3 linked regions of the Macaca fascicularis genome follow. The protein of the gene in region 1 interacts with the protein of each later gene in a biochemical or structural test. Links are inferred from orthologs where the notes say so. Each region holds a gene or a part of one and is shown in the gene's direction. Other genes may lie near its edges. The genes, in order: MCM5, MCMBP and STAT1.

Region 1 (3,651 bases):
ACGGGGGTGAGGTTGCCCAGCTTCCCTGGGTGGGAGAACCCATTCCCCTGTCCTGCTCCTCCTCATGAAGAACAGCCCAGATGTTGCTGTTCTGAGGTCCTCAGCTCTACTGAATCTGCTCTGCTCCCTTCTCACCTTGCACTGCTCACTGGCTCTTGGCTTCAGTTTTTCCATCTCCACACCAAGCAGGTGGGATTAGATGGTCTTGAAGACCTCCTCGAGTCTGACATGCAGGGAGGCAGTGAAGTGTAGACATGGTAGACATGGGCTCTGGGTCATACCCGCCTTCACTGTGTGACTTTGGGCAAGTTGGTTGGCCTCTCTGAGCCTTGATTTCCCCAGGCCGATGTTTGCTAATAAGTGCTTGACATAGTCCTGCCCTGGGTAAATACTCAGTGAGTGGCAGCTACAACTTGATTGTTCTCACATTTTCAATAATAATAATTATATACATAGCACTGGCCAGTTGCAGTGACTCATGCTGTACTCCCAGCACTTTGGGAGGCCAAGGCAGGTGGATCACTTGAGGTCAGGAGTGTGAGACCAGCCTGGCCAACATGGCGAAACCCCGTGTCTACCAAAAATACAAAAATTAGCCGGGTGTGGTGGTATACACCTATAGTCCTAACTACTCGGGAGACTGAGGCAAGAGAATTGCTTGAACCCAGGAGGCAGAGGTTGCAGTGAGCTGAGGTCATGCCATTGCATTTCAGCCTGGGCAACAGAGTGAGATTCTGTCTCAAAAAAAATATATATATGTATGTGTACACACACACACACACACACTCACACGCTATTTTCTCTGTGCCAGGCATTCTGAACTATTATTCAGTACTTTCTATATGAATAAATTATAACCCTCCCCCAAAACCTACCTGGTTAGGTGTGCTATTATTCCCTTCCCTTTGTGGATGGGGAAGCTGAGGCAAAGGAAGTTAAGTAACTTGTCCAAGGTCACATGCCAGAGGTAGTGGAGCCAGGATGTGAACCCAGCTGCTTGCCTCCAGAGGCTGTGCTCTTGACCACAGTGCTTAGATTCTTGGCGTACAGTGCTTTGGTGATCTTTTGAAGAAGCTAAAACCCAGGGGTCGAGGGCTCTTTGAGTGCACTGCCAGTGGGGGCCTGGTAGATCCCTGATTCAGCACCTCTGACACAGTGAGTGGATAGTCCCTGGGTCTTCATCCAAGTCTGAGCTCTGTATGGCCCAGTCTTGAGAGGCTTGTGCCCACAGCTATGAGTCAGGGAGCCCTGGATGCTAATCTTCCCTCTGCACTAAGTCCCCAGGTAGCCTTGGGGAGTTCCCTCCCTCCCTCTGGGCCTCAGTCTCCATGTCCTTAGGATGGTTGAGCTAAGGCTTTCGGTATATCAGTGATTGTCATTTGACCTGGGGGCTAGAGGGGAGGGGATGGGGTAGGGTAGATGCTGATCAGACTTCCCCACACCTACCCTCCCAGGAAAGTCCGAGGTGCTCCCAGCCCCTGGACTACAGTCACTGCCAAGCCTCCTGTGGGTGTCATCAGCTTGTCGTGTCTTCAGATGTGTTGGGTGGAGGAGTTTGAGACTGCTGCAAAGCCCACCACCTAGTGGGCCTCCATGCCACTGTGATTGTGCCATTGTTAATTACATGTATGGGGGACCTTGTGGCAAGACACCACACAACGTCTAACAACGGGGAAGAGGTGGTTTTCACCCTGCACACGTGCCTGGCTTTTCTTCACCTGTTTTCTAAGAGAGGCACCCATATTTCTCCCCAGTGTTGATCTTTGTGGCAGCTGCCCATAGCCAGATTTCACTTAAATCTCTTCCGATTGTTGTCTTCCAGCCCATGTGAGTGGGCAGCTGTGGTGTGGTGGGAAGGTGCATGTCTGGAAGCCGGCAGAGGGCTGGGGGAAAGGGTAGGTGCCCTAAGAGTCCCTGCTGGCCTCACAGCAGCCTCTCCCTCCCGTCCTGCAGGAAGTGTGGCCCCCGGCTCTCAGCAGAAGCTGCAGAGAAACTGAAGAACCGCTACATCATCATGCGCAGCGGGGCCCGTCAGCATGAGAGGGACAGTGACCGCCGCTCCAGCATCCCCATCACTGTGCGGTGAGCAGGCGGGCAGGGCGGGGCCGGGGCAGGTGGGGCTTGCTTTACACGGCAGGGTGTGCCTGGCAACCAGGGGCAGTGTCCAGGTTTTTCACTTGGCACAGGCCCACAGTAGCTCTGGGCGGGAAGAGTCCCTTTGGAGCATAAGCTATGGCCTCCTTGATCTCATTGATCTGTTTTCCTTGATTTAAGGCTGGGCAAACCAGGACCCCTCTTGTCTGAATTTGGCCTGGCTTTTCTCCCATTGCAGGAAGCCTGAAGGGAGGGATGGACCCAGGCCTAGGAGTCAGGAGTCTTGGGTCGCAGCCTCTAGCCCACTGTGTGACTATAGGGAAATTTCATTGCTTCTCTGACCCTCAGTGTTTTTAGCTCCTAACTCTGTTCATTCTTGTGACTTAGTAGACAGTACAGTGGGTAAGAGTTGGGATTTACCTGGTTTGAATCCTGTCTCCAGCACTGACTGGTTGGAAATGGATTTGGCTATAAGTAATGGTAAATCCAAATAAAGTAGCTTAAAGAAATAGGAAGTTGATTTCTCTCTTCTGTAGCACTGTCTGGAGGAAGATGGTATGGGACTGGTGTGAGGACTTCTCAAGTTCCCCCTTACTCTTAGTCCAAGTTGGCTGCTGGAACTTCAGCCATCACTTCCAGGCAGCAGGAGAGGAAGGAAAGAGAGGTTCCCTTTTTAAGGGCACTTCATGAATTCCCACACAATGCTTGGGCTTACAACTTATTGGCCATAGTATGGTCACAAATACAACCTGGTACAAAAGATGTCTGGATGTGTCTTAGTGGATTGCTGTGTGCCAGTCTAAAAACTGGGTTTCCAAGCTAGTTGCAGTGGCCTACATTGTGATCCTAGCACTTTGGGAGGCTGAGGCAGGAGGATTGCTTGAGGCCAGGAGTTTGAGACCAGCCCAGGCAACATAGCAAGACTCCTGTTTCTACAACAAATAAAAAATTAGCCAGGCATTGTGGTGTGTGCCTGTAGACCCAGCTACTCAGGTGGCTGAGGCAGAAGGATCACTGGATCCCAGGAGTTCGAGGCTGCAGTGAGCTATGATCATGCCACTGCACTCCAGCCTGGACAACAGAGCGAGACCCTGTCTCAAAAAAAAATTGCAGTGCTATGACTAAGATCAAAAGGGAGATGGATTATAGGGACACCTACCAGTCTCCACCACAGTCTTAACACTTTGGGCAAGCACCTCCCTGGTAACAGGGTGGCTGGGGAGGAAGGGAATAGCAGACCGAGGCTACCCTGAGCGCGCTGTTGCCCCCACAGGCAGCTGGAGGCCATTGTGCGCATCGCGGAATCGCTCAGCAAGATGAAGCTGCAGCCCTTCGCCACAGAGGCAGATGTGGAGGAGGCCCTGCGGCTCTTCCAAGTGTCCACGTTGGATGCTGCCTTGTCTGGTACCCTGTCAGGTGAGCAGATGCAGGGGACATGGTCTCAGTTGCTCTGGGTTCCCTGGCTCAGAGCTCTGTGGGCAGGGCTCTGGCATGCTGGGGGCCTGCAGTGTGTGTCTTGCTTCTCTGAGTTTCTTTTTGCAATAAGACCCCTCTCCT
Region 2 (3,651 bases), on another chromosome or scaffold:
ATGTTGAGGGTCATAAGGGTTCTTCGGTGAAAAGTTTTATTGCGTCAGCAGATGGTTGGAGCCATCTGTATGGGCCTACAATGTTGGGTTCTTTGTGTAGTTGTATATAACCTAAAATTTTTCATTCAGTGAGTGTAAGGAACGGTAGACACAGGGTCTCACTATGTTGCCCAGCTGATCTTGAATTCCTGGGCTCAAGTGATCCTCCTGCCTTGGCCTCCCACAGTGCTGGGATTATAGGTGTGAGCCACTGCACCTGCCCCAAATAGCTTTTTAAAAAACTGAAATGGGAAGAAGCTGATCTAACAGATTTTTTTTTTTTTTGGAGACAGACTCTTGCCCTGTTGCCCAGGCTGGAGTTCAGTGGCATAATCTCGGCTCACTGCAAGCTCCAACTCCCAGGTTCACGCCATTCTGCCTTAGCCTCCCGAGTAGCTGGGACTACAGGCGCCCGCCACCATGCCTGGCTAATTATTTTTTAACCTCCCATTGTAAAGTTTTTAAACGTTTTTCAGAGAATATCTGAAAAATAATCAAATGGTTTGCACTAACCTCAGTTATAGAATATATTATAAAATCATAAGAAGCAGATTGTTTACTAGTGCTCAAATGAAGACAATTAAGAATATACTGCTGGTGATCAGCTCAAGAGGTAAAGGTAGAAGAAAAAATGAGGTAGACTGGGCACGTTTAAGGCAAAGGGGAATATAAAATCTGTAAAATTCACTAGGCTGATCTATGTATGAAGGTAGTTTTAGTGTTTCCTTATTTTAGCCCTGTAAATACACCACTTAGAAATAACTGTGCTTGCTTGGGAACTATTTTATGTCTAGGTGCATACCAGATGCTAGGTATTAGATTTGTGGGGGGATCCCCTGGCCCCATAAAGTTCTACCTTGACCAAGAGTGTTGTAAGCCTACACACTTAGTGATGTTTAGCTTAGTAAATTGGACAGCGCCTCATACCCTTTATTAAAAGCGGTAGAAACTTCATGGCTTATCATTGGTGTCAGCAAAACTGATTTGTTGAGATGATTAAAGTCAAATGACTGAAAGTGTTTTCCTGCCTTCGTAGGTGTTCATAATGTAACTGCCCTGAGCAACCTCATAACGTGGCAGAAGGTGGATTATGACTTCAGCTACCATCAGATGGAATTCCCCTGCAATATCAACGTTCTCATTACTTCGGAGGGGAGGTCACTCCTCCCGGTACAATGAGTCATTTTTAAATGGAGGGAGGTTGACATGGGAAAAATACCTACGTTTTTGCTATTTCTTGGTACCGCTTATTAATAAGTTACATTTGTTGTAAAAAAAAACTGTGACTGCTGATCATTAAGGGAACTGAGTATTTTGCACTGCCATGGATGAAAACCTTACATCTGCCAAGCTCAGATATCAGCAAGTCATGAGACCAGCAAGGCTGTTGGCAGCAGAAACACCCACATCAAAGCATAGCAAGATTGCCTGATTTTAACCTCCAGACTTCTGTTCTTGCTGCCTTTGACCCATTGTTTTCTGCTAATCTTATGTGAAAAATATTTTAGAGTTCCTTTGAAAATGTCCTTGGTTACTTGGTAGTTATTTTCATGCTTTACAGTGAAATGCTCTGTTATGTCCTCAGAGCGGCTGGTAAAGAGCGCTTTTAATTCTAAGGAGGATGGGAAATGCTCCCAGTTGTCAAATGGTTTATAGTCTCTGTATAATAGTATTCACCTGTGATTGATGAGAAACAGTCTTTGATAAGAATGAAATGGCTCAAGGATATGTTCTCTGTGTGCAAGTGTGATAGGCCTTTTTAATTAGCTGCTTTTTAGAGGTTGGCTACATTTTTGTGTGCTTATTGATACCATTGAAGTAACCAAGAAAAAGCTAACTTTCATAATTATTTCTGAGGTAGTTATAAAGCATGTAAAGTAATACTAAAAATAGATTCTCACTGGGTGCAGTGGCTCACACCTGTAATCCTAACACTTTGGGAGGCCAAGGCAGGTGGATTGTGTGAGCCCAGAACTTTGAGGCCAGCCTGGACAATGTGACAAAACTTGTCTCTACAAAAAATTCAAAAATTAGCCAGGTGTGGTGGCATGCACCTGTGGTGCCACTACTAAGGAGGCTGAGGTGGGAGGATCGCTTGAGCCTGGGAGGCAGGTTGCAGTGAGCTGTGATCACACCACTGCACTCCAGCCTGGGCGACTGAGCAAAACTCTGTCTTGCACACATACAAAAAAAAAAATTATTCCCTCCCCCTAAATAATAAATGGTATTTTCTAATTCCTGTAGGGGCTGACAGGGATGATGCATCTTTCTTTAAAAATGTAGATTTAATTTAGGAACTCAGAAAATACAGTGTACTTCTTCTCTTTTCAGGCAGACTGCCAGATTCACTTACAGCCCCAGCTAATTCCACCAAACATGGAAGAATACATGAACAGCCTTCTCTCAGCGGTGCTGCCTTCCGTGCTGAACAAATTCCGCATTTATTTAACCCTTTTGAGATTCTTGGAATATAGCATATCTGATGAAATAACCAAGGTATGTCTAGGTTAAAATAAAGGATTTCCCTGTGTTGAATTGCAGTATGCAGCCAATTTACATTTACCATAATTACTGATGAGGTGATTTTGCTATTTGTTTTCTGTCATGTCTTTTTTTATTACTCTATTACTCCATTATTGTCTTTTTGTTTGAAATAGATATTTTCCAGTGTCCCATTTTAATCCCTTGAAGTTACTTTCTTAGTGGCTGCCCCAGGGGGATAAACTTAACATGTTAGTATAATCATCTATTAAGGATTAATGCCAGTTTGTTTAGTTATTTTTAATTTAAAAAAATTTGTGTGGCTAATGCTAGTTTAATTATAATATACAAAGACTTTGCCCCTTTATAATTCCGTCCTTCTCCTCTCCCTTGTGCTGCTGTCATACAGTTACCTCTCTATACATTGTATGTACATCAACACATTTAGAATTACTGCTTTTGCAGTTGTCTAATTTTAGAGAAAAAAGAAACAGAGAAGACTTCTGTACTATTTTTTCTATTTGCCTATGCAGTCACTTTTACCAGCAACCTTTATTTCCTCATGTGGGTTCATGTTACTGCCTAGTATCTTTTCATTTCACCTCGAAGAACTGCCTTTAGTGTTTCTTGCATGGCAGGTCTACTTGTGCAAAAATTTTTTTTTTTTTTTTTTGAGACAGGGTCTCGCTCTGTCACCCAGGCTAGAGTGCAGTGTTGTGATCGTGGCTCATTGCAGCCTCAACCCCCCCAGGCTCAAGCGATCCTCCCACTTCAGCCTCCTGAGTAGTTGGGACTACAGGCATGTGCCAGTGTGCCCAGCTAATTCTTTGATGTGTATGTGGAGATAGGGGTCTCCTTGTGTTGCCCAGGCTAGTCTCAGACTCCTGGGTTCAAGTGATCCTCTGTCCTTGGCCTCCCAAAATTCTGAGATTAGAGGTGTGAGTGACCACGCCCAGCCCTCTTTTAAGTTTTTGTTTATCTGGGAATGTCTTAATTTCTCCTTAAGGCTAGTTTTGCTGGATGTAGAATTCTTGGTTTATAGTCTGTCTCATCATTTCGAGTATGTGCTCCCGCCACTTTCTGGCCTCTTGTTTCTACTGAGAAGCCAGCTAGTTTCTGATGAGGATCCTT
Region 3 (3,651 bases), on another chromosome or scaffold:
GGGGAAACGTGCTTCTGCTCATGGACCCAGAACGAGGGCCATTTTGTCCCATGTTCTGCATTCTAAAGATAGTGTCACGTCTGTCATTCTTTCTAGTCCTAACTTTGTTCTCATTTGTAAATGAAGATAGCAACTTTGACCATTACCATGGTGTTTAATAAGATGATTATTTGTTTTATAGCAATTGAAAGAACAGAAAAATGCTGGCACCAGAACGAATGAGGTGAGAGTCTCTTTATGTTGTGAATGGGCCCAAATCAGGCAGGTCTGTCTAGCAAGGGCAGGTCAGTTGGTGGCTGGGGACACCTCACAGAGGAGTTCAGACCCAGCAGGGAAGAGCAGCAAGTGAGCTGGGTACTTGGTATATCTGTGACAACAGTAAAAACACCACATTTGTACTTTACTATTGTCAAACGATTTTGCACACAAATTCATTGGACACTCAGTGGAGTAGCTATTGTGGGCTTTTGTATTCTTCGCATCTTACGGGTGAAGAAATTGAGTCACAGGAAGTTTGCAGGATTTAGCTAAGGGTGCACAGAGAGTTACTGTCAGAGTTGGAATGAGAGGCCACTTTGATGACTGCCTTGCTGTGTGCCAAGAGGGCTTTTTGGCCGTGGCATCCCCTACCAGAAGCATTGCCTTTGCATCAGTTTCCTTCCTACAACGTGATCCTTAAGAAGTTGGGTTTGTGATGCATTCAGAAATGAACTATGGACAAAGGATGAAATATCTGGAGTTGTTTTGGTTTAGAACACTTTCGTCCTTTATGCACACACAGCGTGCAGTCCTTCCACACCAGGACCAGTGGAGGTCACATGGAGCAGCGGGACACACACAGGCCCAGGCAGTGCAAAGATGCCTTCTAGCCCTGGTGTGCACCTGAACTGTTTTGACCTCCCTGCGTCTAGCAGTTGTACCTCTCTAGTTCTAAGTTGTGAGGTTCTCATGAGGTAATGTCTATGAAGGCACTTTGAAATCTATCCATTTCTACCAAAACCAAAGCACCTTGTGACCTACCAAGTTGATGTGAGTCAGCCTTTCTGGTAGGCAGTAGACAATCCCAAGTGTGCACTTACTCCCAGCCCTCTCACCTCCTCCCCACCCATCTGCATTGAGATGTGCAGCCACACTGGGCAGGCAGACAGAGCTGAGGGTTGAGAAGCCTTAGGTCACAAAGCCATTAGTTGCTCTTTCCCCATTGACATTTATTGCTCTGAATCTATAATCCTTGCCATAACTTCAGGCACTTATCTTTCAGAGCACACTGATACTCAGAATCATTAAATCTGGAAGGGATTCAATATTGAGTCTTTGGACTTGCTGCTGGTTGGGTCCAGGATCTCTGTGGCCTGTTGCAATGTTAATTGGGCTTTTGAAAGTTTCAGGATCTGTGAATAAGTGGTTATATTCTTTTCTTCTTTCCTTTTCTCTTCCAAGGGTCCTCTCATCGTTACTGAAGAGCTTCACTCCCTTAGTTTTGAAACCCAGTTGTGCCAGCCTGGTTTGGTAATTGACCTCGAGGTAAGACTTTTATTTTTATGGTCCTGAGGTGGAAAACTTCATTATTTTTACTTTTAATTGTTACGTGTATTTTTATTTCTCAGTTTTTGTTTTAGAGATATTTACCTAATTGTTTTAAAAATGATATTTTTCAGCTACTACTACCTTAACCTTAATTTATGGTCCAGAAAGCTAGAGAATTGAATTAACCTTCAAATTCTATAACTTAAATGTTCCAGTTGAGATAGCTGATGTTAATTTTTTTTACAGTAAGCATTAGGACTTATTTATTTTCCTCTGCCCTCCCTCCACATTTTGTGTTTTCATTGTGACAATTTTCATCTTCTCATATTGCATACCCCTTAATTAGTTATTGTAGCTATTATTATTTTTAGGGACTTATTTCTTAACTGAAAGATATATCAAAGACAAATTAAACTGGACAAAAGAACAGAACTTAACATTTCTCATTTTCAAGTATTAAATATGTACAAATTTACAAATAATCCCCTGCTTTTAGTTGAGGCTAAGCAGTTATCTGAAGGTGACATTTCTGTGATTCAGATGATTTCAAGGTCTTTGTCATCCTTTAGACGACCTCTCTGCCCGTTGTGGTGATCTCCAACGTCAGCCAGCTCCCGAGTGGTTGGGCCTCCATCCTTTGGTACAACATGCTGGTGGCGGAACCCAGGGTATGGAAAATACATTTGCTTTGGTCCCAGGGTTAAGCAGACCCCATGCTCTCGCTGCTGCATCTCTGAAATAGCCCCAATGGCCAGTTGTTGAGGGAGAAGTGACAAAGCTCCTGTGGTATTTCTAAGGCTTTTGAGTAAATCTGGGAATGTGAAGCATGGATATGTATTTGAAATGAGAATTATGATTTTTCTGCCATGTGAGTAAGCTAGGGCACTCAGTGATTCCATACCACTTCATCATTATTATTTTTAAAATGTGTACATCTACTAAACAAGCATGCTCCATTCTTAAGAGTGTGGATACTCACTGTTAATTAATTATAGTCATTATCATTATTCAAAGTAGTTATGTTTTTTGAAGTTACCAGGAACACTTAATTAGCAAATAATGAATTGTTGCTCCTAAGGGAACTACAAGGCTAGGTTCCTTCAAGCCTCTGGTCACAACATTTTTGTCACCCCATCAATGCATAACATTGTTTATGTGTGTTTCTGTTTAAAGACACCTTATCTAATATACTTGCTGAGGCATTAACATTACACCTATAGTCAGGATTACTGGGTAACTCACGCCTGAGTGAAGCTTGCCTCACACATGTATTTTCTCCATAAGGCACATCCCAGCATTCCCGTGCTTAGGAACAGTATACCACACTGTGGCGCTATGCTTGGGCACCATTTTAAACAGTGATCACCAACAGCAATCACAAAATGCAAAAACATGGCACTAAATAGGCTTCAAAAAGGACACGTTTTTCTTATGAGAGCTGAAACAGGAAGCGAGTGTCATTTTGTTTGGCTTCAGTTGGAAACATAAGTGTTAAAAGACTCAAATTCTTTGCTGCTGTGTGCATGGGTGTGTCTTCAGATGACCCCAAAGACGTCATGTGCTTAGATTTTGGAGTTACAAGTAAATTTTAGTGAGTAAACAAGTTCACAAATGTGCATCTGTAAATAGTGAAAATTGACTGTATTTCTCTTCCCCTACTGTGAAAGCACCTGTGTGTCACATAAACTAGAATTGAACTTTGGGATGGACATATGTTTTAGTGCCACACTTGTGACTGGTGTCTCTGTAGTAACCCTTCGATTTTGGGTGTTTTCTCTCTAGAATCTGTCCTTCTTCCTGAATCCACCATGTGCACGTTGGGCTCAGCTTTCAGAAGTGCTGAGTTGGCAGTTTTCCTCTGTCACCAAAAGAGGTCTCAATGTGGACCAGCTGAACATGTTGGGAGAGAAGCTTCTTGGTATATGCATATTAACTTGTTACGTTTATAAGAATTGAAATTCATAAAAATACCTCTCTAATTGCTCTTTTCCCCTCTGCTATTTTGTTAAAGGTAAAAAAGTATTAAAATCTGTTAGCTTTTCAAGCTATAGTTTATTATAGCTAAGTGAGAATCATATATCACCTTAGAAAGAAATATGGACCTGATAACATTTAAATGAATCC

Evidence for each region.
Region 2: the proteins of MCM5 (region 1) and MCMBP form a complex in vitro, tested with the Homo sapiens proteins (2 studies listed by BioGRID). The link is inferred for Macaca fascicularis from reciprocal best matches to the Homo sapiens genes MCM5 and MCMBP.
Region 3: the proteins of MCM5 (region 1) and STAT1 form a complex in vitro, tested with the Homo sapiens proteins (2 studies listed by BioGRID). The link is inferred for Macaca fascicularis from reciprocal best matches to the Homo sapiens genes MCM5 and STAT1.

Annotation. Positions count from the first base shown.
Region 1 is NC_088384.1:16,247,716-16,251,366, reverse strand, and holds part of MCM5 (DNA replication licensing factor MCM5), read left to right. Parts: intron 1-1,953; coding exon 1,954-2,082; intron 2,083-3,367; coding exon 3,368-3,510; intron 3,511-3,651. UniProt on the Homo sapiens protein: Acts as a component of the MCM2-7 complex (MCM complex) which is the replicative helicase essential for 'once per cell cycle' DNA replication initiation and elongation in eukaryotic cells.
Region 2 is NC_088383.1:128,850,783-128,854,433, reverse strand, and holds part of MCMBP (mini-chromosome maintenance complex-binding protein), read left to right. Parts: intron 1-1,075; coding exon 1,076-1,209; intron 1,210-2,370; coding exon 2,371-2,535; intron 2,536-3,651. UniProt on the Homo sapiens protein: Associated component of the MCM complex that acts as a regulator of DNA replication.
Region 3 is NC_088386.1:86,678,562-86,682,212, reverse strand, and holds part of STAT1 (signal transducer and activator of transcription 1-alpha/beta), read left to right. Parts: intron 1-181; coding exon 182-223; intron 224-1,440; coding exon 1,441-1,524; intron 1,525-2,096; coding exon 2,097-2,195; intron 2,196-3,309; coding exon 3,310-3,445; intron 3,446-3,651. UniProt on the Homo sapiens protein: Signal transducer and transcription activator that mediates cellular responses to interferons (IFNs), cytokine KITLG/SCF and other cytokines and other growth factors.